Coturnix japonica: one gene and its partners. The protein of the gene in region 1 interacts with the protein of each later gene in a pairwise test. Links are inferred from orthologs where the notes say so. Each region holds a gene or a part of one and is shown in the gene's direction. Other genes may lie near its edges.

What was found. The genes of interacting proteins can lie anywhere in the genome.
Region 2: the proteins of LNX1 (region 1) and KLHL12 interact in binary tests that used the Homo sapiens proteins (3 or more experiments, as listed by UniProt). The two-hybrid records come from large-scale screens. The link is inferred for Coturnix japonica from reciprocal best matches to the Homo sapiens genes LNX1 and KLHL12.
Region 3: the proteins of LNX1 (region 1) and DDX17 interact in binary tests that used the Homo sapiens proteins (3 or more experiments, as listed by UniProt). The two-hybrid records come from large-scale screens. The link is inferred for Coturnix japonica from reciprocal best matches to the Homo sapiens genes LNX1 and DDX17.
Region 4: the proteins of LNX1 (region 1) and C1QTNF1 interact in a two-hybrid assay, tested with the Homo sapiens proteins (2 studies listed by BioGRID and IntAct). The two-hybrid records come from large-scale screens. The link is inferred for Coturnix japonica from reciprocal best matches to the Homo sapiens genes LNX1 and C1QTNF1.
Region 5: the proteins of LNX1 (region 1) and zinc finger and BTB domain-containing protein 8A interact in a two-hybrid assay, tested with the Homo sapiens proteins (2 studies listed by BioGRID and IntAct). The link is inferred for Coturnix japonica from reciprocal best matches to the Homo sapiens genes LNX1 and ZBTB8A.
Region 6: the proteins of LNX1 (region 1) and SRSF1 interact in a two-hybrid assay, tested with the Homo sapiens proteins (3 studies listed by BioGRID and IntAct). The link is inferred for Coturnix japonica from reciprocal best matches to the Homo sapiens genes LNX1 and SRSF1.

What each region holds. Positions count from the first base shown.
Region 1 is NC_029519.1:59,314,676-59,318,938, forward strand, and holds the end of LNX1 (E3 ubiquitin-protein ligase LNX), read left to right. Parts: intron 1-388; coding exon 389-547; intron 548-1,430; coding exon 1,431-1,566; 3' UTR 1,567-3,083; downstream 3,084-4,263. Other genes in the region: FIP1L1 (pre-mRNA 3'-end-processing factor FIP1), read right to left, coding at 3,188-3,335, 4,019-4,156.
Region 2 is NC_029541.1:902,818-907,471, forward strand, and holds part of KLHL12 (kelch-like protein 12), read left to right. Parts: intron 1-365; coding exon 366-480; intron 481-1,321; coding exon 1,322-1,428; intron 1,429-2,316; coding exon 2,317-2,512; intron 2,513-2,893; coding exon 2,894-3,052; intron 3,053-3,156; coding exon 3,157-3,255; intron 3,256-3,788; coding exon 3,789-3,975; intron 3,976-4,171; coding exon 4,172-4,298; 3' UTR 4,299-4,654. UniProt on the Homo sapiens protein: Substrate-specific adapter of a BCR (BTB-CUL3-RBX1) E3 ubiquitin ligase complex that acts as a negative regulator of Wnt signaling pathway and ER-Golgi transport.
Region 3 is NC_029516.1:46,422,565-46,427,723, forward strand, and holds the start of DDX17 (probable ATP-dependent RNA helicase DDX17), read left to right. Parts: upstream 1-1,878; 5' UTR 1,879-2,196; coding exon 2,197-2,240; intron 2,241-5,159. Other genes in the region: DMC1 (meiotic recombination protein DMC1/LIM15 homolog), read left to right, coding at 695-764. UniProt on the Homo sapiens protein: As an RNA helicase, unwinds RNA and alters RNA structures through ATP binding and hydrolysis.
Region 4 is NC_029533.1:4,623,271-4,628,351, forward strand, and holds the start of C1QTNF1 (complement C1q tumor necrosis factor-related protein 1), read left to right. Parts: upstream 1-1,800; 5' UTR 1,801-2,164; intron 2,165-4,513; 5' UTR 4,514-4,527; coding exon 4,528-4,667; intron 4,668-4,782; coding exon 4,783-4,922; intron 4,923-5,035; coding exon 5,036-5,081. Other genes in the region: CANT1 (soluble calcium-activated nucleotidase 1), read right to left, coding at 178-817, 1,578-1,667.
Region 5 is NC_029538.1:4,571,955-4,577,319, forward strand, and holds the start of zinc finger and BTB domain-containing protein 8A, read left to right. Parts: upstream 1-2,084; 5' UTR 2,085-2,897; intron 2,898-3,474; exon of another isoform or gene 3,475-3,822; intron 3,823-3,939; 5' UTR 3,940-3,961; coding exon 3,962-4,898; intron 4,899-5,300; coding exon 5,301-5,365. UniProt on the Homo sapiens protein: May be involved in transcriptional regulation.
Region 6 is NC_029534.1:7,446,103-7,451,502, forward strand, and holds the start of SRSF1 (serine/arginine-rich splicing factor 1), read left to right. Parts: upstream 1-2,119; 5' UTR 2,120-2,275; coding exon 2,276-2,469; intron 2,470-2,812; coding exon 2,813-2,997; intron 2,998-3,354; coding exon 3,355-3,527; exon of another isoform or gene 3,528-3,796; coding exon 3,797-3,991; 3' UTR 3,992-5,400. UniProt on the Homo sapiens protein: Plays a role in preventing exon skipping, ensuring the accuracy of splicing and regulating alternative splicing.

The sequences.
Region 1 (4,263 bases):
CAATTAATCACACACAGAAGATAAAAGCAGTCACTGGATTGTATGAGGCAAATGAAATACAGTTTCTGGAATTACAGCTTACAAATATTAAATCCAGTCTGAGAGCGTTTTCATCACTTTCAGTCACAACTAGAACATTTCCATTAAATCCTACCACGTGAACCAACTGATTTATTATTAAATTCAACATTAGTTGCTATTTCACTGCTAGGATAACGAGTGGTGGAAAGCAGCACTGAAGTAAAGAAGGAAACAGCAAGTGTTTAATACAGGGGAACTTCGCTGTCATTTCACATCTTCAAAACGCTTTGTGAGCACAATGAAGTGGCAGATGCCTCATTAATCCAGAGTTAGCCATGAGACATTTAATCAGACTGCTTTGTTTCAGGTATTTGTACAGCTGCAAAGAAATCGTTTTACGAAGAAACACATCTGGAAGCCTCGGCTTCAGCATTGTAGGAGGCTACGAAGAGCACACTGGGAACAAACCTTTCTTTATCAAATCCATTGTTGGGGGAACACCAGCATACAACGACGGAAGAATCAGGTAATGAGAAATGCTACTTCTCTTTCATCCTGATATTTTATTTTTTAAACAAGCTTTGCTTGAATGCTGTAAATGGGGAAATAAAAGGAATCCCCTGACAGGTAGGAAGACGAGCATACTTAGTATTAACAAACTAAAAATTCACCTTCTCACTGGTGACAAGTGACAGGAAGAGGGCAAATGGCCTCAAGTTGCGCCAGGGCAAGTTTAGGTTGGATATGAGAAAGAACTTTACAGAAAGGGTAGTTAGGTACTGGAATAGGCTCCCCAGGGAGGTGGTTGAATTGCCATCCCTGGATGTGTTTAAGAGCCGTTTGGATGTGGTGCTCAGGGATATGATTTAGTGGAGGGTTGTTAGAGTTAGGGTACTGGTTAGGCTGTGGTTGGACTTGATGATCTTCAAGGTCTTTTCCAACCTGGGTAATCCTATGATTCTATGATTCCCAGTGAGCTCAATGGAATACAGAAGCTCTGAAAACAGGACACGAGTCCTAAACATATTTACTGTCATTGTAGAGTATTACTGGATGGCCTTCTTAGCAGTCTCCAGTATAAGTAAGTAAAAGATGCATCAGTTTGATTTCTAGGGCACTAAAAAGAATGCCAGCAGAGAAGCTTTTCTACACCCCCAGCTCAAATGAAAGCCAAATCAATACTGCACTATATTTAAAAGGGGATTACAAGAAGGAGTGGAATCAACTTCTTCTTTGGGTAGACAGTGATGGGACACTCCTCTGTGTTGCTCTGTTCCCTTATTCATGGACAGTGGTGAACCTAAGAAGGAATGGTGACACTTCTACCCAATGAATGGCCATCCTGTGGCATTTCCCAAGGAGAAGTGCCCTCATTTAAGATTCCCTTGTTTTGCCTTTTCTTTTCTCAGATGCGGCGATATCCTCCTTGCTGTCAATGGCAGAAACACATCAGGAATGATGCACGCCTGCTTGGCAAGGATGCTCAAAGAACTGAAAGGAAAAATTACTCTCACGATTGTCTCCTGGCCTGGCACTTTTTTATAAAACAAATCTTGATGGAGATTACAAGAAGGAATTTAACACAGAAGAAAGGCAAACAAAAACAAGAAACACAACAGATGTCGCCCATCTTTGCTTTTTGGGAGGCCAAATATGTGTTTATAAAGAAACGGTTTGTGAAATTTCAACCTGCATGTCAAGAAAAGCCAAGTTTAGACAAAGCAAGGACACACGTCAAAGAATCACTTCAGAGTGATTTAAGCTACAGACTTAAGTCATTCCTTCCCCACGTTCTCAAGCTTTTTTTTTGTTTGTTTGTTTTTTATATATCTATTTAATGCGTTATAATAATAATGAAATTTAAGGAGCACCACCTCCTGCTCACCCACTTTATTTTGATTTAGGAAAAGAAATCCTTGAATAATCTATGGAAAAAAAATCCTTGCAATTTTTGTAATTGCAAAAAAATCAGGTGAAGGTTTTTATCCACCACGTGAATAGCACTTTGGTTCTGTGTACCTTTTCGGGTCAGCATGAAGCTGATATTTTCAAGACTTTCAAGTACCGTTTGTTAGTCTGTAAAACTGTGAATTAAATTTCTAAAGTTATTAAAAATAACCATTCTTGTGTGCTTGTACAAATATTATTTTCACCCAAAAGAAAATGAAACGGTACCCTGACAACAAGGTTCAACTTCTGCCGTGCTGCCATAGCACTCTCACGTGTCACAGTGCTAGAAGGTAACCTGAAAGCAATGATGGCCTTGTTTTCTTACAGCATTCTTTGCCTTTCTCTGCAAGATACTCATTTTTCAAACTCTTATTTTCTTTTCCTCCTAAAAGCCAGCAATGCAGAGAGGCGGCGTTTGTTCATCTTTTTCATGTTAAGCACAGCTGTCCCCTAGAACAGAGACTAAAATGAACTTTCTCTTAAGCCACTGAAAGGCAGCAGAAATGATTATCCAGTTTAATTCTTCCTTATGCGCCCACACAAACCAGATGTAATTACCAAGTGTATGATCACCGCACTCACCCAGTGTTCCATCAGACTGAGAACAGTCAGCACCTTTCCCCTTCCCCTCTTGTTTTCATTACGCTTCACTATAAAGTTGTTGAAGATTCTGCAATTTCTTCCTGTCCCTGCAGTAAAGGATGATCTTTTCAAATGTGACCTCCAAAAGCAATACTGAACTCACACTGTTCCAGATGTTGGTGTATAATAAAGTGAGCGCACACTGCTTCTAAAGCCAGCAGAAGAATGACCTTCCCCACCGGCTTATGAAAAAAAGGAGACGATCTAATACAAAGAATTTAATCCCTACGTATGTTGAAAGAGCATCATTCTTTAGCTGTAAGAGGTTTTCTCATTGCTTCTTAGAAGGGAAAGTCAGCTCAGGAATCTTAATGTGAAAAATTTATTCTTTTATTTTCAAAAAAAAACAAACAAAAAAACAAAAAATAACCCAAACAAAACCAAAACAAAAAACCCAACAGAAAAAAAAACAAAAAAACAAATGAAACCAAAACAAAACCCAAGTAACTTCCGCTTTTGTACTAACAGAACAAGATTAAGAACAAATTACTTTAATAACCAGAAAAATAACAAGATTTATAGTAATCTATTTCTGGCACTAATATAGATGCAAATAGGCAAAAATCACACAAGCCTATTCCACGGGGGCAGCTTCAGTGTTTTCTTGCTCAGGAGCAGGTTCACTGCTGGCTTCTTTTCCTTCTTTGCTTCGTTTGGATTTTTTGTGTTTGTGCCTTCTGTGGCTGTCTCCTTCTTCACTGTCGTGGCGGCGTCTGCTGTTACTAAAGAGAAAGAGGGAAAATACACCTCAAGTCATTGCATGACACTTCAGGCCCCCCTTCATGAGAGTACTGAAAACTACAGCCTTTGTGTTCATTCTTGAAAACTGGCTCCTGCTCTGTCTCGTATGGTAGCTGGATATCAAAATCAAGCTGAACTGTTTAAGTAGTGGTATGTACATTCACACACCCTGTGATTCTTTACTGCGATATCTGAATAACTTTTAGATTTGCAGCCCATATTCTAATAGTAATAATTCTAGTTATGTCACATCCCTAATAGTATCCTTAGAACATTCTTATATTCATCCCCTTCCCCTGAATTTCTAATTCAAAAAGGATCAAGATGAACAATTCCTATGGAGTGAAAATAAGATCTACTTCACAAAGTTCATGTGTTAATGCTGATGAATGTCAGCTTCACTCTACCTCTTTCTGACCCATCATTTTACACTTTTTCCCCCAAATTCATAATTTCTGTTCACTACCTAAGGCAGTCACATGCATCAATATGAAGTTACCCTGCACCAACACTGTTTATTGTCTGTCCACATTTTATATTGCATACTTGTTTCAAGTAGTACATTTAAGTGTTTTCCACAGAACTCCAGTTTGTTTGGGGCTCTTTTAAGAAATTATTTTTTTAAGCTGGTAAAGTCTTTAGTATCCTATTAAAAAACTCAAACCTTCGAGATGATTTGTGTCTTGTATCTTCTTTCTCTCTGTGTCTCCTCTCTCTGTGTCGGTCATCTTTCTCTCTGCTTGTCCTATGGCGGTCGTAGCCTCTTTCTGCATAGTCTCTGTATCTGTACCGTTCTTCATCACTGGTTAAAAGAAGATCTTTTCAGGGCAGTAACACTAAGAAGTACATATATATACATAAACGTTCATACACTTTTGAGAAGAGTGACAAAAACAAATAATCTTCATG
Region 2 (4,654 bases), on another chromosome or scaffold:
CTGCTGTGCCCACAGCTGCTTCTGGAGGAGACTTCCCTGTTCTGAGTTCCGCCCATAGCAGGGTGTTCCATACAGAGCAGCGCAGTTTGGGCTTTGCTCCATGCTGTGTCTCTGGCAGTCACATATTGAGCTGACGCTGTGGGGCAGACCCAGCCAGGCCCACTCAGCCTTTGCTCCCTCCTCAATTGGGTTTCCACTGGCTAACATGTAGCAGAATCCTATTTTCCTCAGTTTTCCAGTGTAGGGTATTTTATCCTGTAATCTGCAGTGCCACGAGAGATGAGCTGTATGAGAACAGTCCCATGGCATCTCTGGGGGGATCTTAGCACAGACCACTGGTATCAGTGACTGCTGTCTTTCTGCAGCCGTTCATCCGATGCAGTCTGCAGTGCAGAGACCTCGTCGATGAAGCAAAGAAATTCCATCTCCGTCCTGAGCTCCGGAGCCAGATGCAGGGACCCAGGACCAGAGCCCGTCTGGGTGAGTGGTGTGGAGGTGCCGGGAGTAGCTGTGGGACCTGCAGGAGCTGTGTGTGCCATGCAGTGCTGTGGTGCTCTGCAACAAAGACTTCTTGATCTGCAGTGCACAGTGGCATAGAAGGGGGACAGCAGTGCAGGACAGGGTGGCTTGTTAACGAGTGGCAGCACAGGGAGTAGCTGGTTGCCCTGCTCCTGTGTTGGTGCTCCCAGATGGGTTTGTCTGAGCATGCAGCCGTCCCAGGAGTGTGGGCAGAGTTTCTAAAAGGTGGTTATCAGTGTCAGAAATTCACAGGGTGAGGTGAGAGATGGCAGCACTGGAGGGAAGATGGAATGGGGAACGTGGGAGGGTGAAGGGCAGCTGGGAGGTGGGCAGGTTGGTTTGTTGAGAGGCATGGTGAGTAATTTCTGTCCTGAAGGCAGTGCGGTGTGCTTCGACCTCCAACATAGTCCACCCACAGCACAGCTCCTGTTTTTCCAGGAACACCCCACATCAGTGCTCAGGGACATCCACTTCAGCTCAAGCCACCATTTACAGAGAGGCATTGTGCTCTGTTCTGGGTCGAAATGCCTCAGCTGATAAAGGGAATGTCACAAATTCACATCATTATCCAGGTGAAAATTGTGCGCTTTGCTTCTAAGGTCCACCTTCTGCATTCTGCCTTCTTTTGTATAACAATTTGATAGCACTGCTGTCAGGAGCACTCTCAGCACACGCCCTCGTGTTGCCTGTTCACTTCCTGGATGGACTGCAGTGGCTGTGCTGCATGATGCCCACAGGGCTCAGCTCTGCGCCCATGGTTGCACACCAGCTGATGTGGCTTTGCTCTCCCTCTTTGCTGCAGGAGCAAATGAAGTCTTGCTTGTGATCGGCGGCTTTGGCAGCCAGCAGTCACCCATAGATGTTGTGGAGAAGTACGACCCGAAGACCCACGAGTGGAGTTTCTTGCCTGTAAGGGACCTTTTCTGACCATCATTGAGCAGAACAGGCACGCTGACATCAAACATCGATCGTGTGCTACTGGCCACATAACCTTCCCTGGGCTGTCCTCAGTTCATTTGGGTTGTGGAGGTGTATGCAGTAAACGCTGGAATCACTTTGCTTGTAAAGCTTTGTGGGAGAGGTTGCTGCCTTATTTGCTGGGCTGAACCTGCAGAGGCTGCATCTGTGCTGTGGGAGTGAGAGCTGAAGGGCAGCATGTTTTGTCTTCAAGGGGCGTTGAGCTGTGAAGTTTGGAGGTGGCATCTGGGGTGTCAGTGGGAGCACTGGGGTCAGTGCTGCTGTGAGCACAGCAGGCTGCGTGATCCCTGCTCACGTTGGGTCTGAGTGGGAAGGGATTTATTTAGAGATAACTTCTGCAGTGCGATCTTAGAAGCAGCTGTACCAGTAGGAAGCAGCGCAGGCCTTTGTTACTGCTAATCACAGGGAACTTACATTGCTTTCTCTCCCAAAATTCAGTTCTTTTTTTGGGAGGCCAAAAGCTTCAGCTGCATCCAGCAGATCTCTGTAGCCTCCACGTTTCCCTATTGACAGGGAGCGGTGGGAGGCATGCACACCTCCAGGATGTGCCAGGGATTCAGCAGTGACAGGAGATAAGCTGACATTGTACAAAAGTATTGTGCATTCAAAGAGACCCGGGCAGCAGAAGCTGCAGAAAGCAGATGCAGTCCTGGTGCATTTCAGCCAGAGATGGATTGCTGAAATCCACACTGTCATCTGCCTCTGCCTTGAGGTGCCTCTTCCAACAAAGCAGCAAAAATGGGATAGAACAGCAGTTGTTCTGCACACACGGGGGGTTGTTTCTTCTCCTTGACCCTTTGTTTTCCTTCCTCATTTCAGAGCATCACCCGTAAGAGGCGTTACGTCGCGACTGTGTCCCTGCATGACCGGATCTATGTCATCGGGGGCTACGACGGCCGCTCCCGCCTCAGCTCCGTGGAGTGCTTGGATTACACATCAGATGAGGATGGGATCTGGTACTCCGTAGCACCCATGAACGTGCGGCGCGGGCTGGCAGGAGCCACAACCCTGGGAGGTGCATCCTGGGGCAGATCGTTGGAGCTCTTTGCTTGGCTACAACAATGGAAACCACCTCTGCTGTGTCTCCATTCTTTGTGCCACTGTGCTCTGAGCAATGGGAGCTCAAGGAGGGGCTGTGGAGGAGGAGCTCTCATGGTGGATAAGCAGCTGGAAGGGCTGGCTGGGTTCTGGGCTTGGTTGGTTGATCTGCAGGCAGGCTGATACCGTGAGGGTGAGCAGTCTGCATTTCTCTCAGGTTCAAACATGCCAAGTTCTGCTGTGGTTGCTGTATTTTGCAGTCCACATTGTAGGTTTGCTGTGTCTATGAAGGCCTTTGTGCTCCACGTGCACATTCGGTGCTCGTTGTGCTCAGCCCACCCCTGCTCTGTCGTTGCAGATATGATTTATGTTTCTGGTGGGTTTGATGGGAGCCGACGCCACACCAGCATGGAACGCTACGACCCAAACATTGACCAGTGGAGTATGCTGGGAGACATGCAGACAGCACGGGAAGGAGCGGGGCTCGTTGTAGCCAACGGAGTTATCTACTGCCTCGGTAGGTGCCCGCAGGCAGCAACATGCAGATCCTGAAGCAGACCCTGGAAGCTGTGCCATGCTTCGCTGGGATGGCGCACAGTTTGCTCCTCTCTTGTGTTTCAGGCGGCTATGATGGGCTGAACATACTGAATTCTGTGGAGAGGTACGATCCCCACACGGGACACTGGACGAACGTCACACCGATGGCCACTAAGCGCTCAGGTAGGAGCTTGTGTGCTGGTTTAGCTCCCCAGGAGGAGGATCCATAAAGGAGTGTGAGTGTGACTTTATGGGCTGTGGGGAGAGGAAGTCTGTGACTGCCCTAATTAGGAACTGGTGAGGAGCAGGCAACACAGTTAACGTATGTAATGTGATGGGACAGCGTGTGAAGGCAGCACTTGTTAGCTGCAGGGCCCAGTCAGTGAGGGGTGTTCAGGCAAGCACTGGGGCTCAGCTCCTGGGCATCCAGGACAGCAGAGAGCAGCACTGTTAGGACAGCATTACGCTGACAACTTGAGCCACTGTGTAGCCAGTTTCGGCCAACAGCATTACTGCTCTTACTGGGGCAGCTGAGCACAGCAGCTCTTACAGGCACAGCTGTCAGGCTGGCTGCAGGCTGAGTACCTCATGCTGCTCCTGCTGCCCTGGCTGCAGCTGCTCGCTCCCCCTCACTGGAAATTGAGCAGAAGTTGGCAGGGTTAGAGTTACAGCACTAGGCACAGCACTGTCAGCACTCCTGTGTCCTCTCCCTGCAGGTGCCGGAGTTGCTCTGCTGAACGACCACATTTATGTTGTTGGTGGGTTCGATGGGACGGCGCATCTCTCCTCTGTGGAAGCCTACAACATCCGCACTGATTCCTGGACCACTGTAACCAGCATGACCACCCCCCGCTGCTACGTGGGGGCCACCGTGCTGCGGGGAAGGCTGTATGCAATCGCTGGGTAAGAGATGGCCATGGGCTGGAGGGGAAGGTGCTCTGTGTGTCAGCAAGAGGGGCGAGTGACTCCAAGTGACACAACCCATGGCTGCGTTGCATTCAGCCTCTTGAATGCACATCAAGACTACTTGGGAGGACTCTGAGCATCTCAACCCCTCTCTGTGGCAGCACCCCTCAGCTGTGACTTTCTGTCCCTTCAGGTACGATGGCAACTCACTGCTGAGCAGCATTGAGTGCTACGATCCCATCATCGACAGCTGGGAAGTGGTGACCTCCCTGGGGATGCAGCGCTGCGACGCCGGGGTCTGTGTCCTGCGGGAGAAGTGATGTGCAGAGAGCTCACAAAGCACATCCCCACGAGTGTCTGCTGGACGAAGAGTCCCCAATGATTTGCAGTGACTGTTTTTGAGAGTTGTGGATGCTGTGGAAGTAGGCACCAGTACAGCAGCTTTCTGTGCTGCTTTGACTTGAGCATGTGCATAACCATGTGATCTCAGCAGTCATTTGAAATCAGGGGCTCTGTGTGAAGCTGGAGGAAGGCGGTGAAGTGGGGCGAGAGAAGCTGCATTCTCTGCTGTTCCTGTGGCTCATTTTCCCAGCAGAGCAGAGCAGTCCCAAACTGGCATCAGCCGGCCTGGTGAGCGTATCTGAGGACATACACACAGCTGGGTGGTCTCTGTGGC
Region 3 (5,159 bases), on another chromosome or scaffold:
GAAACTTAATAGCTTGTGAACTGATTGGTGGTTTCAAATGAACCATGCATCTGGGGGGTATATTGAGAGAACATCTGAAAGGACAGTGATCAGTAGATTTAGATCGGTAGATTCCAAGTTGTCTCACATATCGTATGTATTACGTTATGTAACCTCATAAATCCCACTAGATGTTGATCTCTTCATGAAGACTATCAAATCATAGAACCACAGAATGGCCTGGGTTGAAAAGGACCACAACAACCACCCAGTTTCAACCCCTTTGCTACGTGCAAAGGTCGCCAACCAGCAGACCAGGTTGCCCAGAGCCAGGGTTGTCCCTTGGCAGGAACATTCCAGAGCTGTTCCATCACTCACTTTTGCTGCCCTCAGTGGGGTGTCAGTTTACAGGCTGAGCTGGGGCAGACACAAGTATTAAACAGCATATAAGCAGAACTGAGTGGCCATTGCTCCTGGCCACCAGCTGAAACGGGCCAGACAGCTTTGCACACACAGAATCATCTCTCCCACGCTTCCTCCTTTCCCCTCACTTGAGTTTCTCATCTTGAGAGTTGCCTTTCACATTTTCTCATCTTGATGACATCATGCACGTCACATATTGAAGTATCCCGTGTCGCTTTGACTTTAAACCTTTGGCAGACCGTTCCATTTAACACTTGTGGTTCTCTTTTCCCCCCTCTTCCCTCCCCTCCAGTCCTGAGATGCCCGAAAATGAAGCCACATTTGCAATAACTCCTGGAGGGATTGGAGATGCCAAAGAATAAGTGGGAACCTCATGCAGACATACAGCTGTTAACCACCAAGGCGCTTCGTTGGGATGAAGATCTGCTCCAGGTCGCTGCCTCCCCTGGCTGCTTTTTATCTGCTTGGAATCGTTTGAGAGGTGTTTGGGATAAACCGTGTGTGCTTCAGTGTTATTCAGCTGGTTCATTTGGGGTCTTCTCTTTTTAATTGGCAATAAATAGCTGATGGAAACAACAAGCCCAGGAGCTTTGCGGCACTCCATGTGTGGAAGAAGAGAATTAAATACCTGGAATACTTTCACGTCGGCCAGATTGCTTATTGAAGCACTTTTAGAAGAGAATGACCTAAAGTTGTTTATACTAAAGGGAATAATAAAGACCTAAAACGAGAACAGCACTCTGTGTGTCTTTGGGTGCTTCTCCTCCAGCCCCACTCTCACTCATCCCCAAGCCAGATACAACCCAACCTTTCACAACCCGTGTGGGGCACATCAAGCCGTTGTCTCGCAGCCAGGACAAAGCACACATCATGGCTGCCTCCCCTCTCGCTGCTGCCCGTGTGCTGAGCCCACAGCCCCCTGACAACCTGCCCTGTGAGGGGGCCCCGAGCCCACCCGGCCCTCGCAGCCCCCCGCACCCCCCTCCGCCGCACCGCCCTTATTGTCTCCTCCACAGCGGCAGCCGGCGCCCGGCCGAACAGCCGCATTCTCTAAGCGCCGCTACGCTGAACGATCAGCGTAATCCTCCGACCCTCCGCCAGCCCTTCCTGCACAGCCCGCGGAAGAATTTTACGCAAAACGTCGGGTTCTTCCTGCTCTACGTCAGCCTGAGTTACGCAAGCTGCGTACGCCGTGCGCTTACGTAACGTACGCCTCGGCCTAGCTTTTCCCTACCCTCTAGAAGGGGTTACGCTGTAGGCTCCTTGCGTAGTAGACTTTGAGGAATAAGAAGAGCGATACTCCCCTTACTCCCCGCCTCACGCAGGGGCTTCTGAAGCGTAGACTGTTACGCAATCTCCGTATATCGCTCTCTGTTCGGCGCAGTGTTCCGCCAAGAGCGCGTAGGGCGTAGTTGGCTTCCGAGAATTAACGTAGGCGTTTTCGAGAGCCGCAGTTTGCGCAGCGCCGGGGCGCCCGTAACGTAAGTGAAGCGGGTTGGGGCGGCGGCGGCCATTTTGTGCCGGGAGCCCGGAGGAAGAAGACGCGAGTGTCTCCACACTTGACGGGCCCTGGAGCCGACCGAGAGCCCCGCCGTTCCCTCTGCTGACGCTCAGCGGGTCTCTGACCCACTGACCACTTCTTCTTCGTTTGTGTCCCTCCCGAGAGCCGAGGTGGCGCAAACCGAGTCCTCCGAGACCCAGCCGGCGTTGGCCGGGCCCTCGCCCCGCACCCCCAGCCCTTCGCCGTCACCACGGCCGGCCTTCCGATGCCTCTCGCCCACCCCCCCGGGAGCCATGAGGGGCTTCGGGGACCGGGGGCGCGACCGAGACCGCGGCGGGTAAGGGGGTGACGGGGAAGGCCGGGCTGGAGGGCGGGGGGACGCGAAGGGGGGATGGGGGGGGCTGAGGAGCGCTCACCTCAGTTGGAGAGGCTGGGGGGGCGAGGGGAGGGGTCGGGAGGGGGGATTTCTCCTCACACTTCGGTGTTGAGGAGCGTGAGGGGGCACTGGGGGAGAGGACGGACATTTCACCCCTGTTTTTCACGTTGAGGGGATTTGGGGCCGTGTTATTATGGCTTTGGCAACAAGGGGTGGCTTTGTTTTTATTTACTCTTAGTAACGTGCCAAGCTTGCAATTCTAAGGCCTACCTCTTCCTTTTTTCCCCATATCCTTAAGTTATTTTCTCCTTTAACCAACCACCTCTCCCCTCCCCCCCCCTTGCCACCCCCCCACCAAACGTGAACGGGGATCTCTGTGGCCCTGACGCTGCCCTTCATGCTGTCATTGCTCCTTTGGAGCTCCCTCAGAAGATGGCAGTTGGTGAAGGGCCCTTCTCGTGAGAGGAAATGAGAGTGAAAGCTGCCACTGAGCTGCGTGCGTGCTCAGGAGGCCAGTAGCTGTAAACATGGCCTGGGCTGTGCTTAGCAAGCACGACCGAGCTGAGCGTGACCAGCCTTAGCATGACCAAGCTGATGGAGCAATCGAGTGGGAGCTGTCTGGCTGCCGTGGCTTGGGCCTAGTGCTTAGTGCTTCCAGTCTTGCTAGTTAAGTTAGGAAAGGGTTTTGTAGGTTTGACTCCTAAGGATGGCAGCAATAGGATAATATTATAGTATTTAAATGGTTCGCTACTTGGTTTTCTTCCTGAGGGTTAAAAGCAATAAGAGTCATCCTAGAGAAACTGGAAACCTGTTTAGGACAGTGGCATTTTCTATTCTTTTAATAGCTAGTAGTTAGGCCTCCTTTCTCAATGATTAACAATAAATGTATCGTATAGATTTTGTTACATTTTAGGTCTAGTTTGCCATAGCAATACTATTTTTCATGGCTTGTCTTTTTTTCCTCCTCTTTCTCAATGACAGATTGAGGAAAATTTTGTTTATGCATCGAAATCCACTTTAACATTTAGTTTCTCTTCGTCTGTGGAGGGAGATAGTCGCATTTAGGCTTTATCTTTGCACCCACATTTCTCACTCTGAACTTAAAGCATCCTTTCACTTTTTTTCACAGGGAGGAGGGTTGTGTTTTTCCACCATGAGCTTTCCGGCTGAGCACAACGCAGGGACATCAGTGTCAATGCTCTGGCAATCTGAGATAACTCAGGCCCAGCTGCTTTTGGAGTTTAGAGAGCGTATCTGAGTGTGTAGATTTATTTCGAGTTACCTAAAGTAACACTGTGCAGAGTGTTGTTACAATGCTTAGCATGCATGACATTTGTGTCGTCATACTCTGCAGGAGGGCTTTGCTTGTAGATTCTTCTGTTGTAGATCACGGATGTGATGTACGAAGTAAGGAAGGAGTGCCTTATTTGTCAGGATTTTGGACATCTGCATGGAAAATTGTTTTCTTGGCCTATTACAGCAGATTGACTGTATCAAGATTCAGCCACCGACAAGCATCACAATTCAGAAATAATTTCTCTGAGAATGTGGGGCCACCCAGGATGCCGTGTTCAGAAGTTCTTCACCTTCCTAGTGCTGACTCTTCCTTCAGCTAACAAATCCAGGCTTCCAGTTTTCTTCCTGTCTGTAATGAGCTGTAGGTGACTGCTTAGGATAGGCAGCTGTACTGTTTTGCTCTGGAATGTAGTAAATTCTTAGTTGTGTCCCAGAATCTGTGGCATAGTAGCTTTAGAAAGGAATGTTCTGGGTCAGTCTGAATTTCTCTTTAACTGAAAGGTGAAATCGGTGAAGTAATCTTAGTTTTAAATCATCTTGACCAGAGCTGGAATTGGGTGGTTCCCACCAGGTTACTGGGGATGGTTGTTGCAGGAGGGCAGCAGGGTTGGCTTCCTTCAGGTCAGTGTGCAGCCATATATTGCCTGTGGGGATGGAGAACTGGAACTGCCGCACTTGTGTCAGAGCGTATGATTCATAATCACAGAATCATCGAAATCACCTGGGTTGAAAAGGACTACAATGATGATCCAGTTTCAACCCCCCTGCTGTGTGCAGGGTTGCCAGTCACCAGACCAGGCTGCCCAGAGCCACATCCAGCCTGGCCTTGAATGCCTCCAGGGATGGGGCATCCAGAGTCTCCTTGGGCAACCTGTTCCAGTGCTCCACCACCCTCTGTGTATGGGTTCTTCCCTCTGGATAGCTGTGGAGCACATAGAGTGCTCAGCTGTTTTGGGGTCCAGTCTTACAGTCAGCTTTTCCTCTCGCTCTCCAGTGAGTCCAATAAGGATGTCTGTGCCTTTTGGTAGAACTGCTTGGTTACATCAGTAGTTACCATTTGGACTTCAAGTTAGCATGGTCAGCAGCAGGTATCTTCAGCAGAGCAGGATGTTTCTGGAAGTGATCTGTGCAATTGTTGTTTATCCTTTGTTCCAGAAGGAAACTTATTGCTTAGAAGTAACTTTTCAAATTGCATTTTATGGTCTTGGCCTGTGACAAAAATAGCTGGTTGCAAAGGGTGCTGGTGGGGAACCTGGTGAAGGTAGGAGGTGAGAATAAGGGGTATTTGTACAACTGGGAAGAGATACAATGAAACAGTTGCAGCAAAACAAACATTGGAATTTACTTTGGCTCTGAGTTAAATTATATCTGCCCTGCATTTTCCGACAGTGTAACTCCTTCCTGTTAATATGTTCAAGTTCTGCTTTTTGGTCTCTTTGTCATCTTGTCATTTCCTTTGGGAAGCAGTTTAGAGATCAAATGTGGCTACTTTCTGAACAGATAGGCCTTTAATTAAGGTAATGCAAGCAGTATTTCAGATCTACTTCAGTTTTTACCAGGCTCTCCTCTGGTTACCAGTTGATG
Region 4 (5,081 bases), on another chromosome or scaffold:
GCATGGGCCGCACATAGATGTTAGGGTGCTCTGCAGTCCACACAGCCCCCTCAGCAGCACACAGTACTGCACACAGCCCCCCCAAACCCTGCAGGATGACAAAAAGGTGCCAAGAGACAAAGCTCCCCCACCCTGTGTGTGCAAGTCAGGCAGCAAACAGGGAATTACAGGGCTCACCTTTCCCCACAGTGCCATCCCCATCCGACAGGATCACCCAGGGCACCGCCTTGTTGCCCTCGATCTGGTAGACCACCCCAGTCCGGTCATCCACGGAGTACAGCTTCCCATTGAAGACAACCAGCTCCGACAGCTCCATGCCCCTGCCCTTTTCCGCCAGGTGGGACTGCAGCACACTCTCCTCTTTGTCCCACTCCACCATCACACTGTCCCCGCTGGCCGACAGCACCAGATAACCCTTCTTCAAGTAACTGAACCAGGTGTGCTCCTCAGAGCCCCGGGACTGAGTGTCCAGGTCCGCAATGACCCCGATTCGATAACGCACACCCTCGGGGTTCCTTTGGGGTGGGGACAGCGGGTAGGTGTCATTATAGCGATCCTCTGCCTGCAGCCAGAGGTGCCGGCTGTGGGGGTTGGGTGGGACGGGCCGTGCTGGAGGGGAGCGATGCAGGCAGAAGAGCAGCAGCACGAAGCCCACGCAGGCGGAGGACAACACGATGGCCCTCCAGCGCAGGCGGAACCGGGGGTCGGCACCTTTGGTCATGGACGCGAGGACGGGCAGGCTACCCACGCTGATCCGCAGTGGGCTCATAGACTCATGGCAGGGCGGCACGGGCATCAGCCTGCGGGCGAGGAGAGCCTGGCAGTGAGAAGAGAGCGGGTGAGAGCTGCAGCCCAGCGCTGTGCTTGGGGATAACGGCGAAGCACAGTGTTATGTGATGAAGCAGTGGCCCTCAGAGGGCTGCTCTGCTGCAGGAGCCCTTCTGCCATGCTCATTCCCTATTGACCCCAGATAAGAGTGAGCCCATGGCTGTGTGCTGGGTGTCCTGATAGCAGCATCCTCACCCAGGAGGAGGAGGGCACTGGCTTATGGCTGCACACGTGGCAGCCCCGCCCGAGCAGGATGCTGACACCTGAGCAGGAAGTGCAGTGCCCGGCTGTGCGGGATTACAGCCATACCAACCCCAACCCCATAACTCTATGATGCAGCAGCCGCTGCTTCCCGGTCACATCTACCCCTGGATAAAGCTGCACTGTCCCACCGTGCCCATCACCGTGTGCCCCCACTCTGCCCAGCCCCGAGGATACCGGTTGCCCCCCGGTCCATGCCGTGCCCCCCCCGCAGTGCAGCGCTCCCTTAGTCCCTCTCAGCCCCTTTTGGGCAGCCCTGGGGGGCGGACAGAGCCGGCATTGAACGACCCGGCATTGAACGGGGAGGTCCGGCAGCTCCGCACCCCCCTGCGGCCTCCAGCCGTGCCCAGCCCCCCGGGCAGCCCCCTCCCCATTACCGACCACCCCGGGCAGCACCGCACGGCCCCGCACAGCCGTCACCCCGTCAGTCACCCCGTCACCCCGCGGTCTCTCCCCCGCTCCCCGCCGCCCCCGGCCCCGTCTCTCACCGCGCCGCCTCCCGAGCGCAGCCGCCTCCACCCCGGCCAACAGCCACCGCCTACAGCTCCCTGCACCCCCAGCGCTTCGCTACGGCACATGACAGAGGCCAAACTAACGCTGTATGAGCACTGAGAACTACAGCTCCCTGCAGCCTCCGCGCTCTGCGCTCGCTCTCATTGCTCTATGGGGTGCTGCGGCTCCATGCTGTAGGACAGACACACAGACCCCACTATAGAGCACAGCTGCATCCCCCATGCACTGCCCTGCACGCTGCCTCTCACATCTGCAGCTGCTTTATGGCACAGCCCCCCACGTCCCCCCGAGGCCGGTGCTGGTTGTGGGGCTGCTGCTGGCAGGCATGGGGTGCACACATGGTTAATGCTGTCTGCTGCTGGGCCCACATCTGGCAGGGGGGGAAGGGCTGCTCCTCTCTCCTCCTTTGCTTTCCAGAAGTGCATTTCCGCCCGGCCATAGGAGGAGAGGAGGCTGTCACAGGGGCAGGCTCTGCCCCACAACGAGGGGGCAGGCAGCGCAGCACCACGCAATGCCCTAAGCAGCAAAGGAAGCACGGGGAGAGAGCGGCCCTGCCCCGGAGGTAGGTGTGGGGCAGGGCTGGGGGTCACCTCTGGACACAGGGATGAGCGCTGTTGTGTGCACATCTGTGTGTGCCACTGGGCTCTGTGTGGGCTCCCAATGTGCAGAGTGCCCGGGGGCCTGGACCCCCACCCTCACTGTGGGTAGTCAGGCTTGCACCCTGCCCCACATGCAGGAGGGTGGTGGGGATTGTAGGGTTAAAACCTCACGTGTTGTTGGAGGGGCACAGCTCAACCTGCAGCAGCACTGGGGTGGGGAGTTAGTGCCGTAGCTCCAGCTTTGAGCCCTGCAACCAAAACACCCCATGGACACATCAGACTCAGCACTGGGCCGCCCCAGGGCAGCTCTGCAGGGACTGGCGGCTGCTGGTGGGAGCACAACTTCTCATCGGTGCTGCTGGGTGCAGTGGGAGCTGGAGGGTTGCGACCTCTGTCATTCTTTGGCTGCTCCATGCAGCTCCCACCCTGCTGCCTGCTGGGGCTGGGCTGCTCCTCTTCTGCAGGCAGCTCCACAGATGTCCCAGCTGTTATGGCAAAAAGGAGGGGGGTGGTGGGGGGCTTATCTCCAGATGTCAGAGGAATCCTGGCTGCAGCCACAGCTCAAGGAGGACCGTACCCATAGCTGGTGAGCAGGAAAGCAAGGTGGGCATGCTGGTCCTGCTGCCTCTGGACCCCCCTGTGTGCCCAGCCCCTTTGCTCCTCCCCCAGCATTTACTCTTCTTTCATCCTCGCCTTTAATGCTGCCTGGAATGTTTTCAGGATGTTTTGACTTGCAATCCCAAGGCTTTAAGCAGCCACTGAATTTCAGTCTCCAAACCACTCCTGGACAGCATCCAACCCCTGACAGGAAAAAACAGAGTCCCTTCAGCAAGGCTCTGTATATGCCTTTGCAGATACGCGTGCTGCCTGCCCGGCGTGCCTGCGGGGTGCAGAAACAGACGTGCTCAGGGTCTGGGAACTCTGCATGCTGCCCACGGGTACACCATGCTGCTGGCAGCACTGTGTGTGCATGGCACGCTCGCCTCCATTTCCAGCCCTGAGACAGCCTGGAAACGAGCTGCTTTTCTAAGTAGGAACATCCTGGCTAAGGATTTCTTCTCCCTGCTGAGCAGTCTCCTGTGAAGCTTTGCTTTCCCTGGGGCTAAGCCCACTCAGGGTCCCAGGGAACAGTCTGGCTCCATAGGAGAACGGCACAATGTGGGCCCAGGGCAGGGGAAAAGCTGTGGGTTCCCAGCAGCACAGCAGGTTGTAAGCTGTGCTCACCAGCATATGGCTGACACAGCTGGAGCAGAGCAGGGAGAAGAGAGCCAGGGCTGAGCTCCCACAACGGTATCTGCTCACAAGCCCTGGGCTGGCCTGTTTGTGCTGCTTCTCTCCGGCACACAGAGCTGAGTGTGGGCAGGTGGCAGGCCATGGTGATTAGGCTTTGGTGCCAGGCTGCCCTCGGTGCCACACGGTCCATGGTGCCACCAGCCCTGCTGCCAGCAGTGGGCAGCAAGCTGAGGACAGCCCCGCTCCAAGACTTTGGGATAGGGTGGGTGTGGGGGGAAGTATGTGAAGGGATGGGCCCTTTGCAGAGGGCTGGCGCAGAGGGAAAGCCCTTTGGAGCTTTTCCCCATCCCTCCGCCCTTTCCCTGTTCCTTGAACATGACTCATGAGCCAGGCATCCTGGCCTTGAACGCCCTCTGCTCCCGCTTCTGGAGCATGCCTGTCCTGGTCCACACAGCCCACAGACCCCAAGGGAGTCCCACCCTGACCATCGCTAACCCAGGACCCAGGCACTGAAAGCAGCATTCATCAAACTGTTGGGTTCTGCCTCCCCAGCTCACACCCAGGACACAGACTGAGGCACAAGGGGCCCTTTGCAGACTTGGGCACACAAAGCTTGCCGTGCTGCCATGGGTGTCCAGCAGCAGGGAGGTGCCACTTGTTCTCCTGGCACCTTTGGAGCCATAGGGCGCGGTGCAGTGTGCTTGCACCATGCCTCAGAGCTGATATGATAGTGATAAGGCGAGGAAGGGCTGGGCTGCACTGCCACCTGCTATCACTGATGTTAGCTTTGGCCCCAAACAGGATGTTGGCTCCCGGCTGCTAGGGGCTGGCTTGTGGACAGAGCCACCAGCAGCACTTGAGGCTCAGGAGAAGCAGCTCAGGTTCCCTTGCAAAACCCACAGAGAACCAAGGCATAAGGACTGGCAGAGAGCCCCATAGCCGGGCTGCTCCTCTGCTCCCATGCTGTCTTTCCCCACCAGCCCAACCCAGCTGTAGCACCCTGATCCCCACCTGCTCCCTGCCCCCTCTGGACACTGCTGGGCTTTGCCATCCCCCTCAATCACTCTGGTGTCTCACAGGGTGCTGCTGCAGCATGGAGGGCCTTTGGGCACTCAGAGTCCTGCTGCTCTCCTGCCTGCTGCTGCCCAAACCTGTGTGCAGCCAGACCAGCCCCAACCCTGACCAGCATCCAGCAGAGCCTGAGGAGTCCCCATCCAACCATCAGACAGCCAGGTGAGGGGGCCCTGGGAACAGAGGTACTGCCATTGGGATGGGGCAGCCCCTGGCACCACGAGGGGCCCAGCCCCCATGTGCAGCTCCTGTTGTGCTTTGCTTTCTGCCCCCCCAGGGCCATGCAGGAGCAGAAGGACAGCGGTGCCCAGGAGGGGCTGCCCCCACAGCCCCACTGCGTCCGCTGCTGCGAGCCACCCAAGCACCACTTCTCCTACCCCCAGTACCAGCCCCAGATCAACATGACCATCTTGAAAGGTGAGGGCTGTGGGGCACTGCCCCCAACCAGACCTACAGCCCAGCACCTGTCCCACTCCCAGTGCTGGGTGGGAGACGACACTGGTGCCAAAGCATCCCCTCTGCTCTGCCAGGTGAGAAGGGGGAACGTGGAGAGCGGGGCATGCAGGGGAAGTATGG
Region 5 (5,365 bases), on another chromosome or scaffold:
TCAGGAGCTGATCCTGCCCCACTGAGCTGTGCTGAGCAGCAGCGCAGCCAACTCTGAAACTGAAAGACGTTCAGAGGAGGGAAAGTGAAGCTCTTGTGAAAGTCTGTAGTAAAAGCTGCAGGAATAACTGCAGAGACCTCCAGCAATTTTCCTGCAATCTGCTTTCTTTGGTCTTAGAGGTTGTTCTTGTGTGTCTTGTGCATAGAGAACGGAGCTGTGCTATGGTTTGTGTGACTCTGAGTAGGGGGGGGCTGTGCTGTTCGTGTTCCAGATCGAAAGTGAGCACCAGAATCGATGTTTCCTGTTGATCTGTCATGTTGTGCTGCTTTGTTTTCAGCTGAGTCCTTCAGCTTTTGTATTCAATAGAAGCGGATGGAGTTGATCCACGTTCTTGTGCCCGAATGTTCATGTCAGTGTTTGCTGTGCTTCCCGTCCCGGTTTTTGATGTTTTCCTGAAACCTTCCACTGTAATTGCAGCCTCCACAAGCTGCGAGGCAGCGATGTAGCTGTTATAAAACATTCACGTGGTGCTTAACCAACAAATGAAAAATGGTTCTACAAAACTCATTTCTACTGTAATCTCCTCAAAGTTCTTAAAGGCCACACAGACTGCAGGAGGATCACGTGCTGCACTGCTGTCCATAGTGCGTTCTACCTGTTGGTGCGAGACCTTGTAAATCTTGCAGATGTGGTTGTGTCGTTACTGATGTTTTATGGCACTTTCATAGCTGGAGTCCTTTTGCCCACTTTAAGTGACCAATTCTCATCGATCTTACCTTACCTGTAGAAGTGACTTAAGTATATTTGTGGATCTCGGAGCATTCTGGAGCGTTCTGATTGTCTAGAAAATAAAACTCTCAGAGGGTTGCTTTGGCTTTGATTATTATTGTTATTTTGTAAGCATTGGAATGGCTGTGATGTGTTGCTGTGCAGCACAGGGCGAAACGAGTCCTGATGTCTGAGAAAACCCCCATTCTGTTCCATTGTGATCCCAGCTGCACTGGGTGAATTTCTGGGCGTTTCCTGAACTATTCTGAGTATTCTGAGCACTCGTATCAGGTTTAAAGATCTGATTTGTTTACTCGAGATATCACAGCATTTTTCCCCTAGTTTTAAAATTCTATGACCTCTTTGTAGCCGATGGAGAACCCTTAAACTCCTGCTTGCACTGATAAAACTGCTGAGCTCGGTGCCCTCTGGTATCGCCAGGAAAGCACCTGGTCTGTGCAGTGTCAGCTGGGTCGTGCAGAACAAATACCCACAATCTATTCTTTTCAGAAGGAATTTTTCAGTACAAGAACTATTTGGGATATGGAAGTGGGGGGAAACCATGATGTAGGATGTCATATACACAAGTGGTGCTGCTTAGTTGAACCGACAGGCACATGGATTATTGGCAGCCACTGTCCAGGGCTTTGTGAACTCAGGGATTGCAGAGCTGGGCTGTAACACCAGGACAAACACGAGTTCATCTGCCCTGTTGTCCTGCTCACAACAGCTGCCTGCTCTGTGCGAGGAAACAAGAGGCGTTTAGCAGCACTAATACCTGAATGCTCCTCTTACAGACATGGAGGCTTACAGAGGTGCATGGCAGGTAACTCACAGGTCTCAATAGCTGTACCCTGGTCTCAATAGCTGTACCCTGGTCTCAATAGCTGTACCCTGGTCTCAATAGCTGTACCCTTGCCTCGTGTAACGCTCACATTTCGCTTCCACAACTGCACAACAAGGAGCTCCTGTGCCTGCCTATGTCAGGTGAAGAACCACATCCTGCTGCTCTGTTGCTGCCAACCGCTATCGCTTCATTTGCCGTCACCTCCCCTTACACCAGGATCAGCAGCTGACAATCACTTCCTATTGATCCTGATGTGATTTTATAAATTCCCATGTATTTCACTTGCTTCATTCTTCCCTGCCTTGGCTGGCTCACGCCCCATAGGAATTCATGCAAAGCTGTGCTGGACTTTTGTCATCTCTCTGTTCTCTTTCTGAAAGAACACAGACACATGAAGGATTTTTAGTGTGGCCTGCACAGCAAAATTCGAAATGAGACAGAACTGAGAAAACAACAGAAGTTTATTAAAAAGGGGAATAAAAGCGGGGAAATACAACGATCCAACATAAATGGACGTAAATTGAATGTGAAGAGAGGAGAGACTGCGAGAATGAAAGTGGGGGAGGAAAAAGCCTTTAGGTGCCTTCCTGCTTCTGCTACGATGGGGAAAGGAACGTAAATTGATTCAAGATGGAATGTCTGAAGTTTATGCAAGGGAAGGTTGAAAGGAACCGAGGATACAGCTAAGGCAGAACATGGGACAAGGGATGATTAACAAATGAGGGTCAGGAGAGAAAAGACGCTGGTGGTAAGAAGAGGAAGGTGAAGGGTGTCAAACTTGGAGCGAGAGAAGTCGAGAGGTGGAGGTTGATTGAAGGCGTTGTGCTGCTTTTTCCAAAGACAACTGAGATGTGAAGGAAAGACATCGCATCTCCTCCTGGGGAAGCTGCAGATACGTTAAGGAAGGATTTGGGTCATTTGGGCCCGTGTTACACATAAAGGTGTGAGAAACAACCGGGACATCGCAGCCCCACCCGGACGGATCGTGTGTGTGTGCGGGACGGAAGCGGCGCGAGCTGCAGGGCGGTCAGACGTCGGGAGCTGCTGGGCTGTGGCTGCAGTCGGTGCGTTGCCCCTTTAATTGTGTCCCCAGCCCTCGGGCGTCCGTGTCCAACGCCCACGTCAGCAAATACCTTTTGTTTCTCTCCCGCTCGGGCTTCCAGGGCTCGGGGCTGCGGGAACGGGGCGCTGAGCGTGGCCCGAGCGGAGCCGGGGACCCCGCACCCTCCGCCCGCGCCTCCATCGCGACCGAGCGAGCGGCAGCCGCCCGCGGAACCCGGCGGTGAGTGGCGGCCGGGGCGGAGGGAGCCCGTGTGCGGGGCTGCGGGCGGGACGGCGCCGGGAGCCGCAGCCCCGCGGTCCGGCCGTGCCGCCGTTCGCCGCCGGGAGCCGGGCGGGCCGCGGAGCCCCGGCAGCGCCAACGGGCGCCATTGGCGGCCAGAAACCGGGCGAGAAGGAGAGAAACCGGGCGCGGCAACAAAGGGCGGCGCGGGAGCGGAGAGCGGGGGGGGAAGTGGGACTGAGCCGGGCGGGGCGGGCGGGGGCGGCTCAGGGACACGGCGGGAGCGGGGCGGGAACGAGCGGAGCCGGGGCCACGGGGCGGCGGGCGGCGCGTCCCGCACGGAGCCGAGCGGAGCCGAGGGCAGCGCCACGCGGGACGGCGGCCGAGGGCGCCGCTCCGTGTTAAAGCACCGGGAGCGGGGGCGGCGGCCCCGGGGCGGCATCGCGGCCGATACCGGGCGGCGGCTCCGCGCCTTGGCGGGCGGGCACAGTGCCGCCGGGCGTCACGGGCTGCCGGCGGCCGGTGCGGGCGGGGCGCGGTGAGTGGCGGCGGCGGCGGCCAATGGGGGCAGCCCGGGACGGGAGGGATGAGGCCGGAGCCGAGTTCCCGTTTCTGGTCCCTCGGGCGGGGATGGATTCGAGCCCGGCCGGATTCGGGCGGTGCGGGAACGGCAGCACCGGGCACAGGCCGCAGCTCTGCCGGTTCCCTCGGGCTCCTCGGGCTCCTTGGGCTCCTCGCCATGACGGTGAACGGCTGAACGGTGCCGCCGCGTTTCTCAGCCTCCATCTGAGGATGCTGCTGCTGCTCATTCGGAGCTCTGACATCGCTGCCAAACAGCACAGGCAGCCTCACATGGACTCGTTCCATCCTTTTCGAACAGCAATGCCTGGTGGTGGATATTGGGATATTTAATTCAAATATATTTGTGTGTTTCAATAAGATTATTTTTCAGAATATCCATTAAATGGGGTCTGCCGGCCTTGGCGAGCAGCGCAACGTGGAATTCACGATTGTAATTTGTTTTAATCCCTTTGTTTCCTAGAGCACAGCACATCTGCTTTGGGATGGAGATTTCGTCCCACCAGTTTCACCTCCTGGAGCAGCTCAATGAGCAGCGCAGGCAGGAGCTGTTCTGTGACTGCAACATCCTGGTGGAGGGCAAAGTGTTCAGGGCGCACCGCAATGTGCTGTTTGCCAGCAGCGGGTACTTCAAGATGCTGCTCTCGCAGAGCTCCAAGGAAATGACTCAACCCACCACCGCCACCTTCCAGGCGTTTTCTCCGGACACTTTCACAGTTATTCTGGACTTTGTGTATTCGGGCAAACTGTCTCTCACTGGTCAGAACGTCATCGAGGTGATGTCGGCCGCCAGTTACCTTCAGATGACCGACGTTATCAGCGTGTGTAAAACGTTCATCAAGTCGTCTCTGGACATCAGTGAGAAGGAGAAGGATCGATACTTCAGCCTCTCAGACAAGGAGGTGAATTCCAATGGCGGGGAGCAGCCGTGTCTGTACGGCGCGGGCTGGAGGGCAGAAAGCAGCCCCCCACATCCACAGCCAAACCCAGAGCAAGGGACGTGTATGAGGGGAAACACTTGGAGCAACTTCAACTACTATCCAGCTTCTCAAAGAAACACGCAGCAGCAGCTGTCCAAGCACGAGCAAAGGCAGGATGCCATAAAGAAATCCCGACACCCGGGACTGCAGCAACCCGCTGACATTCCACACTATAAATCCAGCAAACTGGAGGACAGGGCTGCTGAGCCTGCTGGCCACATTTCTCAACCTGAGGACCAGGTTCAGATTGAGGCAGAAGCGGAATCTCCTCACGTGGGGTTTCAGTATGGCCAGGGCTCCGATGTGATCTCCAGGCGCTCAGCCGTGTCGCAGCAGGAGCGCGACTCGCCCCGTCCTTCCAGCAAATCCAAGTCTCCAAAAGCAGACGAGCAGTACCCCAGCATGCCCTCCATTGTAGGTGTGATGGGAGGCTGGGCTGAAGGTAGGAGGGGGTCTCCGTGCTGTGTCAGTGAGAAACACACAGTGCTGAAGGAGCATTTACCAGAAAGGCTTTGTGTTTTCAGGGATGTAGGCTTGGAAAGCTGAGATCAACACTTGGAGAGTGATGAATGAGTGAAGTTGAGCTTTGCAAAGTACATATTCTTCATGTCTTAGAGCTACACAGTCACGATCGTTTTGGTTTGTTATTCTCACTGTAATGTTGCTGATAGCCCCGCTCCTTTTCCCTCGATGTTGTAATTTACACAAGAGCTGTATCTGAAAAGACCTACAATGTCTTTAAAATAGAAGCCATTTTCTGTTCTGTTTCTGTTGCTTTCAGTAACTGGAGTAACTAAACGACGGGTATGTTACGACTTCTTTTAAAACTCCAACTGTTTCCCAGCAGACGATCTGCCCAGGATGAGGTTCAAGTGCCCGTTCTGCACTCACATGGTGAAAAGGAAAGCA
Region 6 (5,400 bases), on another chromosome or scaffold:
AATTCTATAAAGAGACACTTCATTAAAGCAATTAAGGCAATCATTTAAAGTAGTTATAAGGACTATTAACACACAAAAGAAATTGTGCAGCAGGGTTTTAGCAAACCAGGCAGATTCACCATTATCTTATGACGCCTTTAAGAATAACATCCAGCATTTATTAAACCCCATTCCCAGGCTTAGGCTGCAGCTTTCTCCAGACATGGGGAGAGTTTGTTTGGGGTCTTTGCAACCAGTTCACACTGGAAAGCATTAAAGCTCCATAAAGATGCAGGAAATCCCCCAGAACCATGAGCTGTATGTGGGTAAAGCACCGCTTCTGCTGGTGGGCTTTGCTCATCACATCCTCCTGTGGTTGACAGCAGTCTTTAAAGCACCAGCAATGCAGCACAGGCATCACTAATGTCAGAAACCATTAGAGCAGAGGACGTTACTGCACTTTAACCCACAGGGACAAAAATAAAAGGCATTGATAATAACCAAGCACACTATAACTTTGTCATGAAAATGTTTTCACTATGGGATGTTTTCTAACTGTAAGTCACTGTCTGTGGGAGGAATACACGCTTTGAATTAACAAATGAAAACAAAGTGAGCACAACAGCCACTGCTAAATGCTCGGACACATTCCTCAAACTCCCCTCATCAACTCAGGAGCATAATGGCTTTTCTCCATGCTCAGCTGCTGTTTCCCCATCCCTGTGGTGCTGAGATTCAGCCCTCCAGCACCAGGCAGGCTCAGCGGTGCTGGATGCAGGCAGGCAACCACTGTGTGCCCCAGTGCCACTTCCAGCCCTCAATGCATTGCCACATCTGCAAAGCAAAGCACAACGTCCAGGCAGCCAAGTGTGAGCCAACAGAGCAGGGACTGCTCTGCCCTCATGGGTCAGGCAAAGACTTTATGCTGTATTAAAGAAAGAAAAGTGGATGTTGGAGTTTCTGTGTCACCACAGAGCAGCTACAGGCCAAAAGAATTCTTGTTGTTAAACCAAAGCCTGGCTCATCTAATTGCACCCTCATTACTTAAAAGCAATTTATACGTTCAAAATTACATCTGCTGCCTGAAGAAATGTCAGAGACGTGTGAGTAACAAGGGTAACATCCCGGTGTGTTACTGTGCCTTCACATCAATTACAACCTCATCAAGAAAACAAACTCAGCACGGCGTTATTCTCGTGCCCCCATAGTTCGGCTGTGCTCATAGGAAGGTTCTGCCCATAGTTAGGCTGTGCCCTTAGGCCGGCTCTGCTCACACCCGTACACAGCGCCCGCCATCGCCCCCAGTTCCGCTCGTTTCCCACCCGCCCGGTGTTTGCACTGCTGTTCCATTCATGACTCAGTCCCCATCACACCCTGCCGTGTTCCTGCCCTTTATTCGTATCCCGTTGCCGTCCCGCTGCCCGCCCCGCCGCGTTCCCCTGAGGCGGGCGGTGACGCGGTGCCCGCTCCGTGCCCTCGGGGCGGCCATTTTGCCTCCGCACCGAGCCCGTCCCAACCGTCCCACACAGTGTCCGCTGAGCGGCTGACGGACCCACACGGCCCGCTCCCCGTGCACCCCGTGCAGCCGCAGGGCGGATCCGCCCGCAGCGCTTCGTGCGGACACGGATCGGTTCGGACCGGCCGGGAATGGACGCTCAGTACCGAGCCCGCCCGCCCAGCGCTGCGCACGGCCCGACCCGCCCGCGGTGCATTGTGGGCCGGGCCACGCCCCGCGCCTTGGCGCCAAGAGCCCCGAGCGGCGCGGTGCATTGTGGGACACCCCCAGCGCCGGCCGGGACTTCTTGGCGCGAGCGCCGCACCGGAAGTGACGTCACACGGCCCGGCGCCCTGAGACGGCAGCGGAAAGAAGCGCGGCGGTCCCGGTGCGGACAGCGGGGATCGGAGGCGGATATTCACGTTCATCCCGACCTCGCTGGCAGGAGCGGAGCCTCTTGTGCGGCCACAGCCGCTTTGGCGGAGCAGCGGAGGCGAAAGGCAAAAGAGAGGAACTACTTTTCCGCGCTGCCGCGCATGCGCGAGGGCGAGAGCGCGGCGGGATACTCGGAACGCATTGCGGTCTCGCGGCCCGGCGGTGCTGCGGCGCGGGGTGAGAGAGATCAGTGCGCGAGATCAGTGCGCGCTGCGAGCGCGAGGGGAGCCGCGGTCGCCATTTTGAAGCGGCGGTTGCTGGAGTCGCCGTGTCCGCTCCCGTCCGCACGGCCCGGCCCCGCGCCCGCCCGCCCGCCCGCGCTCCGCGCCCCGGCCCCTGAACGCCGCAGCCATTGCCGACCTCGGCATGTCCGGAGGGGGCGTGATCCGCGGCCCGGCCGGCAATAACGACTGCCGCATCTACGTGGGCAACCTGCCCCCCGACATCCGCACCAAGGACATCGAGGACGTGTTCTACAAATACGGCGCCATCCGCGACATCGACCTGAAGAACCGCCGCGGGGGGCCGCCCTTCGCCTTCGTGGAGTTCGAGGACCCGAGGTGAGCGCCGCGGGGCCCTGGGGCACGGGCGGGAACGGCTCCGCCGGGCGCCGATACCCCCCCCCTCCATTCCCTCCCTTCCTCCACGCGCGGCGCCGCTCCCGCTGCGCGCTATTCCACACACACACACACACACACACACACACACACACGCTCGGCTCGTTGCGCTCCGGGCCCGGCGCGGTGCCGCCGCTGGGGGTGGCGGTGATGGCGGTGATGGTGGTTGTGGTGCTGATGGTGGTGGTGGGGGCGGGGTGGGGCCGCGGGTATTGGGAACAAAGGCGCTGCGGGGGGCGGCGCGTGGCAGGGCGCGGCCGCGCTCACCGCCCGTCCCGACCCGCAGGGACGCCGAGGACGCCGTGTACGGGCGGGACGGTTACGATTACGATGGGTATCGCCTCCGCGTGGAGTTCCCTCGCAGCGGCCGGGGGACCGGCAGAGGAGGCGGCGGCGGCGGAGGGGGCGGAGCCCCGCGGGGCAGATACGGCCCCCCGTCCCGGCGATCGGAGTACAGAGTGATCGTCTCGGGTGAGTCGCTGCTCTCTTCCCCCGGGTCCTTCGTGCTGCCGTGCGCGGGGGGCGACGCGGCTCCGCTTTTCCCTGCGAAGCCTCGGGATGGGGGAGGGGTGCTGGATGCTGTGGGCTGTGTGCAGGGTGTTCTGCTCGTGTGCTGCGGGATGATGCTGGAATTGCAACACCGGAGGCCTTGGGTTCGAATCCCCTGTGGCGCAAGTGGCAGAAGTGCCGCTCTGCTACACAGAAGGCTCAAATCGCGGGGGGTTGGACTCGATGATGTCTAAGGTCCCTTCCAACCCGCACGAGACTGTGATACTATGATATGATCGCACCATTGGGTTTTAAAGCCAGGTGTTGCTTTTTATCCAGGACTGCCTCCAAGTGGAAGTTGGCAGGATTTAAAGGATCACATGCGTGAAGCAGGTGATGTATGTTATGCTGATGTTTTCCGAGATGGAACTGGTGTCGTGGAGTTTGTACGGAAGGAAGATATGACCTACGCTGTGCGAAAACTGGATAACACTAAGTTTAGATCTCATGAGGTAGGTTTCACGCTTACTTGTTTTTGGCCAGAATTGGATACAAAGGGCTTAACAGTAGGATGTGAAGGTAAGGAATGTGTGGTGATCATTGCGTTAATACACGAAGCAGCTAAACTGAGTCTGCTGTCAGTTTGTCACGAAATAGACTTTATTAAGAGTTTGATGTCTATTTCTGTGCCTTAGTAAAGATATCTGCAGTCTGTCAGCATGCCTAAAACGATGGCCCCGAAGCCTAGACCTTTCAATCGAAAGTTGTGTCTATTCAATAGGGAGAAACTGCCTACATCCGTGTTAAAGTTGATGGTCCAAGAAGTCCAAGCTATGGAAGATCTCGGTCACGCAGCCGTAGTCGTAGCAGAAGCCGTAGTCGAAGCAACAGCAGAAGCCGCAGTTATTCCCCAAGAAGAAGCAGAGGATCTCCACGCTACTCTCCCCGCCACAGCAGATCCCGATCTCGTACATAAGCGATCACTAGCTCTGATCTTTTTGTAGAACCCCATGTTGTACACAGTTTTCCTTTACTCAGTACAGTCTTTCAATATTATTTTTTTTTAAATTCAAGCTGTTTTATTCAGATTGGCTGAAGTGTTGAATTGCATTCTTGTGTAAAATCCCTAGTGAGTATTTGCTCCGTAACAACAACATTCCCCCTCATGTCTTTGGTAAACTGTATTTTAATTGATGTCAGTCAGGATTGTTTCAATTTAGTTCTAGTTAAATACCAACACTCTTCAAACTGTGGTATTGCTGTGTAAATGTCTCAGTGTTCAGCTATGGTTCATGCGAGCTGGGGATGTTGGGATGTTTGTGGCTAACTTGTCTCTTCTGGGGGATCTTATATTTTATCTTGCCTTTTCGTGTGTCTTTCTGTAGACATATCTGAAGAGATGGATTAAGAATGCTTTGGATTAAAGGATTGTGGAGCACATGTCAATCATTTTAGGATTGTCAAAAGGAGGATTGAGGAGGATCAGATCAATAATGGAGGCAATGGTATGACTCCAAGTGCTATTGTCACAGATGAACTTGGCAGTATTGACCTTATACTGAGACAGGTGAATTGAGAACGTGCGCCTGCGTGTCACTTCTTCAGGCACCTCTTGGTCACTGCGGGCTGCAATTGCTCTGTTCTTTAAAACCCTCTTGGCAATTGTGGCTCAGTACTTGCCGGTGTAATTCCTTATTCCATTCTAGTCTTTTTTTAAAGGAGTAAACCGGGACAGGGGTGGGAGCATTGGTTTGTCCCGCGGCATTTGGTTCCAAGCGTTAACGGCCCGCAGTACTTCCACGCTTGCGGATCAAGGGTATCTTTAAATGGGAGTATAATATCAATACTGCTAAAATCTGCATGTCCTCTGTGTGACTGATACAGCGTTGCTATTTCATTTCTTTTAAGTATCAGAATGAAAGGGAAAAAAGCCAAAAACCCAAATCCTAAGAGAACCTGGTTGGGAATCGTTTGTCAGCCCTTCCCCAGCCTAATTCAGAGCTGACTCACCGTATTGAGAGCTGCAGTTAGTTCCTCTGTTACCTTCCAGCCGGGGGTGCTGGCCGTAGCTGAGAGGCGCAGTAGGTGACAGCTTTAGCAGTAAAACTTTTCCAATTTCATAAACATTTTTTGCAACCACAGAAGCTGTAGAGCACCACCGTACGAGCAATGAGTATGTTGGCATTTTTAGTTGACATATGTAAATATTGCAGTGTTTCCTCCAAATAATTAACGTTTCTTAAAGAGAACAAAAGATATAGCATCACCATTCAGAAGCTTGTTTTGGGGAATTGATAGTTATTACTGTACATCTGTATTAATTGATGGCAAACATAACTGATCATTCCCCAGAATCCTATTTTTTCATTGCGGTATCTAACTTTT